Oryctolagus cuniculus: one gene and its partner. The protein of the gene in region 1 interacts with the protein of each later gene in a pairwise test. Links are inferred from orthologs where the notes say so. Each region holds a gene or a part of one and is shown on either strand. Other genes may lie near its edges.

What was found.
Region 2: the proteins of TRIM38 (region 1) and RFC5 interact in binary tests that used the Homo sapiens proteins (3 or more experiments, as listed by UniProt). The link is inferred for Oryctolagus cuniculus from reciprocal best matches to the Homo sapiens genes TRIM38 and RFC5.

The regions. Positions count from the first base shown.
Region 1 is NC_091436.1:153,298,070-153,301,871, reverse strand, and holds part of TRIM38 (E3 ubiquitin-protein ligase TRIM38), read right to left. Parts: intron 2,415-3,802; coding exon 2,184-2,414; intron 1,382-2,183; coding exon 1,359-1,381; intron 1,264-1,358; coding exon 1,151-1,263; intron 880-1,150; coding exon 356-879; 3' UTR 1-355. UniProt on the Homo sapiens protein: E3 ubiquitin-protein and E3 SUMO-protein ligase that acts as a regulator of innate immunity. Acts as a negative regulator of type I interferon IFN-beta production by catalyzing 'Lys-48'-linked polyubiquitination of AZI2/NAP1, leading to its degradation.
Region 2 is NC_091452.1:14,198,108-14,202,531, forward strand, and holds the start of RFC5 (replication factor C subunit 5), read left to right. Parts: upstream 1-1,569; 5' UTR 1,570-1,734; coding exon 1,735-1,799; intron 1,800-2,765; coding exon 2,766-2,830; intron 2,831-3,034; coding exon 3,035-3,171; intron 3,172-4,424. UniProt on the Homo sapiens protein: Subunit of the replication factor C (RFC) complex which acts during elongation of primed DNA templates by DNA polymerases delta and epsilon, and is necessary for ATP-dependent loading of proliferating cell nuclear antigen (PCNA) onto primed DNA.

The DNA of each region.
Region 1 (3,802 bases):
CTCCTTTCATGCCCCTGCTCTCAGGAGTTACAATGGTGTCAACCAAGCTGGAAGACTCCCTAACTCTGGGGACACCCTGCTCAAGGACCCCGGAGCAGTCACAGCCCTGGGCTCACTGCAGAGGGACTGGCAGGGAGGACAGTGCGACCCTCACTGTTGACCTGATCTTCGTGACAGCCTGAAAGTCTCCAGAGCCGGCAGTTCAGGGCAGATGTAGCAGTGTCCACTAAAAGCCATCACAGTTCTAGGTACTGGGGGAACAGCAGGGAATAGGAGAGACCAAATTTCTGCCCTCACGGGACTTGAAGTCTCCTCTCTGTGCTGGTGAAGCCAACAAGGAGACTCTGCGCCTGTCCTACTCACCCGGGGGAGGCAGGAACAAAGGAGAACAGTGATACACCTGGAAATAGGGTCGCAGAGTATCAGAGAAGGAGGCCTTTGGGAAGGTGAAGAGGTGAGCACCTGTACTCATATTGTAAAAAGATACAACTCCGGCCTCAAAGTCCAGAAAAACTCCCACCACCAGGGGCTGCTGACTGAGATAGAGAGGAGTCTGGGGGAAGGTGAGCGCAACATAGCCTCTCTTCCTGCACAGCCTGATGGCCCAGAAGCCAGACTGCGGCTTCTGCTTTACCCCGAACCCCCTCTGCACACTTTCCACACAAACTCCCAAATCCCACCCCGTCCCTTCTCCAACATCCACTTCAAAGAAATGCTTTCCTGAATCGAAGCTCTCACAGCCCAGGACACAGGGTAAGGCACTGAATCTCCTGGGAGACGCGGCGAGATTCTCCTGGGGCCACCCCCGGGTCACCTGCCTCCGGTCTTCAGACAGGGTCAGTTCAGGATGGGCTGTAACTGGATCCAGAGTCACGTCGACTGCAGAAAGACAACCACAACAAAAGAAACCCCAAACGTCGCTTTGGGTTTCTCTGTGGCTCTTCTAACTTAAAGGGGATGCTCAGCTACTCGTTTTTTACCAGGTAACCAGCATGCAGCACCCACGTGAAGCATCGAGCACACTGACGAGGGACAGCATCACAGCTGCACCTGGCCTACGGCAGTGCGCCTGCTCGGGACAGGGGCTGAGCGCGTTTACTGTTTGGGTCCCTTCCACCCCCAGCACGTAAGGACGTTTGAGTGCACGCACCTCGATAGCTCCTTAACATCTTCTTCACATCAAAGTAAAGCTCAGAAACGTTGCACGTCGTAAGAACCTCCAAGGAGAAGACCTCTGGCGCTTCCAGCTTCACAGCCCAGCTCCTAGAGGAAGCAGGGCCAGAGATACCTGGAGGGGTGCGTTCCCTGTAGCCGCACACGTCCTCCCCGCACCCCTCCCGCAACCCTAGAGGACTTACCTGTCCAGCGTGCCCTTCACATCCTGTAAAGACACAAAAGCAAACGGTGAGTGTGTCACCATCTCCAGGTGTCAGGGTTTGGCACGCGGTGCTGTCCTCCATTCATGCTCACTCCAAAGAAGCACGGTGACCCCAGCCTTAGATGTGGACAGATGCTCCAGGGAATGGTTCCTGCCCTGGCCTCCAGGACATGCAGTGTGACAGGATGCTTATCACCCTCAGCATCTCCTGCTGTCCCGGATGAAACCCGTGGGAAGCAGCTGTGTCGACAACAGCATCAGCATGCGGGCCACTTGGGGAAAGGGCCACACGCTTTGCCCTGGCTCCCCCTGGCAAGATGTGCACCAAGGTGGCGGCTGCAGGTGTCCCGTGGTGGTGGAGCAGCCATGCTACGCTCTCAACCTTACAGTGGAACAACCATCCCGTTAGTGGGGACAGAACTAACAGCTCCAGCTATTTACCTTAACCGGGAGGATCCTTGGAGGTGTCAGAAGGCCCCAGCACAGCTCTGGAGCAAGAGCTCCACCAGAGAGTAAGGAAAGGTTATCACTCACTGGCCCCTGGAGGAGTCTTTGGGAGAGAATCTGAGAATCAGGGTTCTGTGCACACAGGACCAGGGGCAAACGGTGGTAAAATTATCCCAAGGTCCACCTGGCCACTCCGTGCACTCAGAGGAAGGAGGCTTTTCTAATTAACTTAAAGAGGTCCTGTGAATGAATGAGCCCGTCCTGCTGAGACAGATACACACCCCCGCATTAGTGTGCCACTGCTGAGCGAAGGCAGGCACCCACGCCAGCCCCCCACCTGCACCTCCCCCAGCCTCACCTGCAGCACTTGCTGGGCCTGGCTTTGACACTTTTCCTCCAGCCCCTGGATTTGGCTCCTGAGTTCCTGGCTCTGCTTCTCCAGACTGGCCTGACCATCCTGCAGCCTCTTCAAAACCTGCTTCTCCTCTTTCTCCAGCCTCCAGAGGTAAGAATTCTCCTCTTTTTGTAGAAAGCTCTGGAGAGTCTCAAAATCACAGCGGATTTTTTGTCTCTGAGTCTCTATCTTCTCCTGGAGTTAAGAAAGTATGGTCAGGAGCCAACACTGTGTCTCAGCAGGTTAAGCCGTTGCTTGTGACACCCGCATCCCACGTATATCAAGGTGCTAGACCCAGTCCCAATGTCCTTGTGTCCAATCCAGCTGCCCATTAATGCACCCAGTAGATGATGGCCCAAGTACTTAGGCCCCTGCCACCTACGTGGGAGACCTAGATGGAGTTCCTGGCTCCTGGCATCAATCTGGCCCAGCCCCAGCTGTTGTAGGCATTTGGGAAATGAACCAGTAAGTGGATAGACTTCTCTTTCTCTCTGTCTCTCCTTCTCTATCACTCTGCCCTTCAAGGGAAGGAAGGAAGGGAGGAAAGGAAGGAGGGAGGGAGAGAGGGAGGGAGGGAAGGATGGAGGGTATAGTCAAAAGTGGAAAAGACCACATATCCAACCTTGAATGATAGGACAAACAAAATGTAGTTTATAGATACAATGGAATATTATTCAGCCTTAACGAATGAAAATGTGAAACATGATACAACATGGATGAGCCTTGAAAATATTCTTGCTATGTGAAACGAGCTAGAAAAAAAAAAAAGGGATAAATATTCTAAGATTTCATTTACAAAAGGGAACTTCAAAAAGTTCATGGAAAATAGAATTAAAAGAAAAGTTTGTTTTGTTGCAAAATATTTTTAAAATCCATGCATAGTTTTTTCTATAATTCATATTTTCCATGAACTTTTTGAAGACCACTCGGGAGGTACCTAGAATAGTTCAATTCACAGAGAGAAGATATACTTATCAAATCGTGGTTACCACATCCTGGGAGAAAGGGAGACTGGGAGTTAGTAATCACTGGATACAACGGTGCCGTCTAGAAAATGGAAAAAGTGGAAATGGATGGCGGTGGTGCTGCTTCACCACGTAAAATACTTAACACCACCTAAGTGTAACACTCAGGAATATCAAAATGGTAAGTTTTATGGTATGTTTATTTTACCACAAAAAGAAAAAGAGGGGCAGGTGTTGCGGTGCAATGGGTTAGGCTACCGCCTAAGATGCTGGCATCCCAGAGCACAGGTTCAAGTCCTTGCAGCTCCACTTCTGATCCAATCCCCTGCCAATTCACGGGGCAGGCAGCAGAAGATGGCTCAAATGCTTAGGCCTCTGCTTCTCACATGGGAGACCCAGATGGAGTTCCAAGCTCCTGGCTTTGGCCTGGCCCAGCCCTAGCCATCGCAGTCATTTGGGGAGCAAACCAGCCAATGGAAGCTCCCCCTCTCTGCCTCTATCTTTCTCTATAACTCTGCCTTTCAAATAAATAAAAACATATTTTTAAAAACCAACCAAACAAAAAAACTTAAAAACAACAAAAAAAGAAATTGAAAATGTCTGATCAGCAAATGTGGC
Region 2 (4,424 bases), on another chromosome or scaffold:
GGTCTTGAACTGACACCCACATGGGATGCCGGCATCACAGGTACCAGTCCCGGTGAGATCTATTTTTGACCCTTACAGCAAATGAGGGCTGGAACACATCACTTACCTACAAAGTAGAATCAACCATAGGAACTCGGGCTTCTTGCAACAACTGAAGCACTTGGAAAAGTGGCCTGTAGTAACTGCATAGCAGATATTAGCTATTGTCATTCATTCATTCACCAAAGAACTAGTGAGTGCTTCCTTTTAGCCATACCCTGTGAGTCCAGCGCTTTGATAACTCAAAGCCTCTCTCTCCCAACAAGCTTATTATAATCCATTGGGGAAGCACCCTGTAGACAATAACCTCATGAATACATGATACCATGTCCCCCAACAGAATTCTGCATTGCAAGCAAACAGAACAGCAGGTGCACAGGGAGTTTTATGAGGACTTAGGCCAGTCTCGTCTGAATCTCCCAACTCACAGAAGTAGGGTGTGTCTCCAAGGCAAGGTCACAGCGTGGTCTCACCTGCAGCTTTTGTGGATTGTGTCATGCGGAACCCTGGGCAACGTCGTCTCACCCCAGTGTTGTTGTCTTTCTTGCCATGTTTTCCTTTTCTTTTCCTAAAGTATTTTATTAGAGATGTTACACACACTCATTGCTGAAAAAGACAAAAGTGGTCCAGAATCCTCTCTCCCCAGGAATAAAAAAAAACACTAAAATAAAATTTTTAATGCTTTTGTTTTCATTTTATTTGAAAGGCAGAGACACAGAGAAATCTTTCAGCCACTGCTTCACTCCCCAAATGCCCGTAACAGCTGGGGCTGGGGCCAGGTTGAAGCCAGGAGCCAGGAACTCAACCCGGGTCTCCCAAGTCGGGCGGTAGGGACGGAGGTCCCTGAGCCCTCCCTGCCTTCCCTGTGCAGTAGCAGGAAGCTGGACCAGAAACAGAGCCAGGACTCAGACCCGGGCAGCCCCTTTAGCCTCTGTGCCAAATGCCGGCCCCCAAACACTAAAATTCTGATAGCAATTCTCAGAGCACCGGGCTCCCTCTTGTGTGTTTATTAATTATGCTTTTCCAGTTGCACGGAACCACCCAGCTGGAAGGTTTGTTTTTCTTTTGTTTTCTCTCTGGAGTCTCTCTCCTGGAGGTCAGCCCTCTAAACTCCGCGAGTGAGGAGGGAGCGGGGCTGTTTGGAGCTGTGTCCAAGTCCAAGTAGTCACCTCCCTGCTTTGGGGCCGAAAGGGATTGTGAGCATTTTTATGTCGCCGTTATTGATATTTATATGCATGAGCTGCCCCTGTCACTTGGGTTGTTTTTGCCTTAGGATTTCTTTTTTAGCTCTGGTTGCTATCTGATCCTTTGAAATTGATTGAATCTTGGTAATGGCTGGAATTGGCTTTGGCCTTGAGACCTTAATTTGTAAGGATGATTGGCGGGGCCCCTGGCCCCCCTCTCTGGAATCCCCTGGGTAGCTGAGAGCGCGCAGAGCAGGCTGGAGGGGAGGAGCCGAGGGAGGCTGCGGGTCCGCGCCTCCGGTAACCTAGCAACCGGCGCCGTAGCAACGGGGAGGGGGCGGGACCTAGGAAGGAAGTCGGAAGCTAGCAGCCCCAAGTCTCGCGAGAGTTGCGTTTGCGCGCGAACTCTAACTACAGGGGTCCAGGGGTGGGACGGTGACTGCTTTCTGGGCAGGGGTTCCCTGAGGGACGCCACAGCCACTGCGGACCCGGTCACCTTGGTCCCCCAGCCATGGAGAGCTCAGCCGTCCAGCAGCAGGAGCAGCCCGCGGCGGCCAAGATGCGGAACCTGCCGTGGTAGGAGCGGGCGCGGCGGGCGCGGCGGGCAGGGGTCGGCCGCGCGCGGGGGCGCAGGTGGCGGCCCTCCTGGGCCCGCGGCCGGGTGCCAGCCGGGTGACAGCGCCGGGGCTCGATCCCGCGTTCCTCTGGCCATAGTCTGCCGTGGAGCTGCTGGTCAAGCTCTAGACCGGAGTAGCGGAGGAGCCCGGGGCGGGCTGCCCTCGGACGCCGCGGAGCGGATCAGGCGCCCTGCTGGGCGGCGGTGGAGGCTGGCGCGCGGTGGAGAGGGCACCCGATTCGCCTGGGACGCAGGCGGGACGCCAGGCTTGGGACCTTGGGTTGCTGCCGGTGGTCCGAGTTCAGATCCTGGCGCTTCCCCGTCCCGTGTCCACGACTAGGGTGGGGGCAGGGGCGCATCAGGCAGCATTTGCGCGGTGGCACATTTGTACTTGCCGCATTTCCCGTCACCCCGAGAGGAGCCACTCCCCGTTTTTGCCTGTTCTGGGCTCTCCGTGTCAGTGGCATCACACGATGTGTGGCGAGTGTCAGAATTCCATTGTATGCATAGAGGGCACTTCCTCTGTACCTGCGTCCGGCGGTGGGTGTTGGGTAGGAGTTCCCTGTGGAAGTCTCTGTCGGTGCCCACTCAGGTTGACATCGGAGGCAGACAGCTGGACAGGTGAGATGAGAGCGCCATCTCCCATCTGGGGCTGTTAACATGATGGGCTAGTTACTGCACTGAGTGGGGGACGCGGACAGGGGAGCTGTCGTGTGCCTTGTACGATGTAGTGACACCCAGTTGTCACCACTAGAAATGTCACCAGGTAGCCCCGGATCGCCCTGGTGGAGAACCACAGGTCTATACGGGAACCTACAAGGCTTCCTTTCTCTTCCTCTTTGAGTTGGGATACGAAAGGGTTCTTCTGCACATAGGAAATGTTCTCGAGTTTACGCATGTCGTATATATTCTGAATTGTATTGCAGGGTCGAAAAGTACCGGCCACAGACGCTGAACGATCTCATTTCTCACCGGGACATCCTGAGTACCAGTGAGTACCTGGGGTTAGTTACTCGTGTCTGCTGAGTAGAAGTTCACAGCCTGATCAGGCTCGTGGGCTGCGGCTGTAGGCGTCGAGCCCTCCCCTCTCCTTGCTGCCTTTGCCTCTGACTTGCCCACAGCCTGGGTGCGGAGCCCGCGGCTCCCGGGGCTGGGCCAGTCCCAGGGACTGACGGTGGCGCCCTGTCTTCCTCAGTTCAGAAATTCATTAGTGAAGACCGACTGCCACACCTGCTTCTCTACGGCCCTCCGGGGACAGGAAAGACGTCCACCATCCTCGCCTGTGCTAAACAGCTGTACAAAGACAAAGAATTCGGCTCCATGGTCTTGGAGGTAAACAGGGTTATTCTTACTCCACAAAGGACTCCGCCTCTTAACTTGCCCTGTGCTGGTTTTATTATAACTTCAAGTGTAAGTGGTCCCTCGGCACTTGAGAAAGAAGCAGGTTGGACGTGAGGTGGTGGACTCCACTCTTCTCCGCGTGCTTGTCTTGGTCCAGTTGGTGCCTGCCTGCCAAGGCGGTTGTGGGCCTGTGGTTCCCTTCGCCCAGCCCCTCCTGGGCCCCGCCCCTCCAGGGCCCCGCCCCTCCCGGGTCCCGCCCCTCCTGGGCCCCTCCTGCCTTCCCGGCGGCCCCTGCACTGCTTGCTGCCCGGAAGGCCGAGCCGCATCGCCTCTACGCTCCCTTTGCCCCCTGGCTCCTGGATGGGTTGGCCAGTAGGAGCCCTGGCAGGGAAACGGGGACAGAAGAGAGTGGTGCCCAGACCTGTCCTGGGGGTGACCGCCAGCAGGCGCTGCCCCCACACACACAGGGCACAGCTCACGGGTGACGTCCCTCCCTCCCTCTCCAGGGTGCGTGGTCCTGTGCCCCACCCCCCAGCACCTTTTAAGTCATCACTTCATTGAATTCTCTTCAAGTGACTGCATTTGAGTAGATTGCTGGGACCCGGGATGGTACACGTGTATTATAAAAGTCCAAATACTGTTTCTGTAAGAAAAAACCGTGTATCTTACTTTATGGGTTGTGGTAGCCGGGATGTACATTGTTCTGCCAGGGCCTGGGGTGCTGTCGGGTGCGGCCTGGCCAGTGAATCCTTTCCGGGTTCTGGGAGCGCCCGCCCTCGAAGGCTTGGGAAAGGTGCCGTTTGCCTTTCAGAATGCAGGGTAGTGGCTTAGTGAGTTTTGAGGACAGCTGGTTTTTATTTTATTTATTTATTTATTTTTCTTTTGACAGGAAGAGTTAGAGACAGCGAGAAAGGTTTTCCTTCCATTGGTTCACCCCCAAAATGGCTGCAATGGCTAGAGCTATGCCCATCCGAAGCCAGGAGCCAGGTGCTTCTCCTGGTCTCCCATGGGGTGCAGGGCCCAAGCACTTGGGCCATCCTCCACTGCACTCCCAGGCCACAGCAGAGAGCTGGACTGGAAGAGGGGCAACCGGGACAAAATCTGGTGCCCCGACCGGGACTAGAACCTGGGGTGCCGGCGCCGCAGGCGGAGGATTAGCCTAGTGAGCTGCGGCTGTCATTAGACCATGAAAACTAGTCCACTGAACTGAACTGATGAAAAATACCTGAAAACCAGGAATCCTG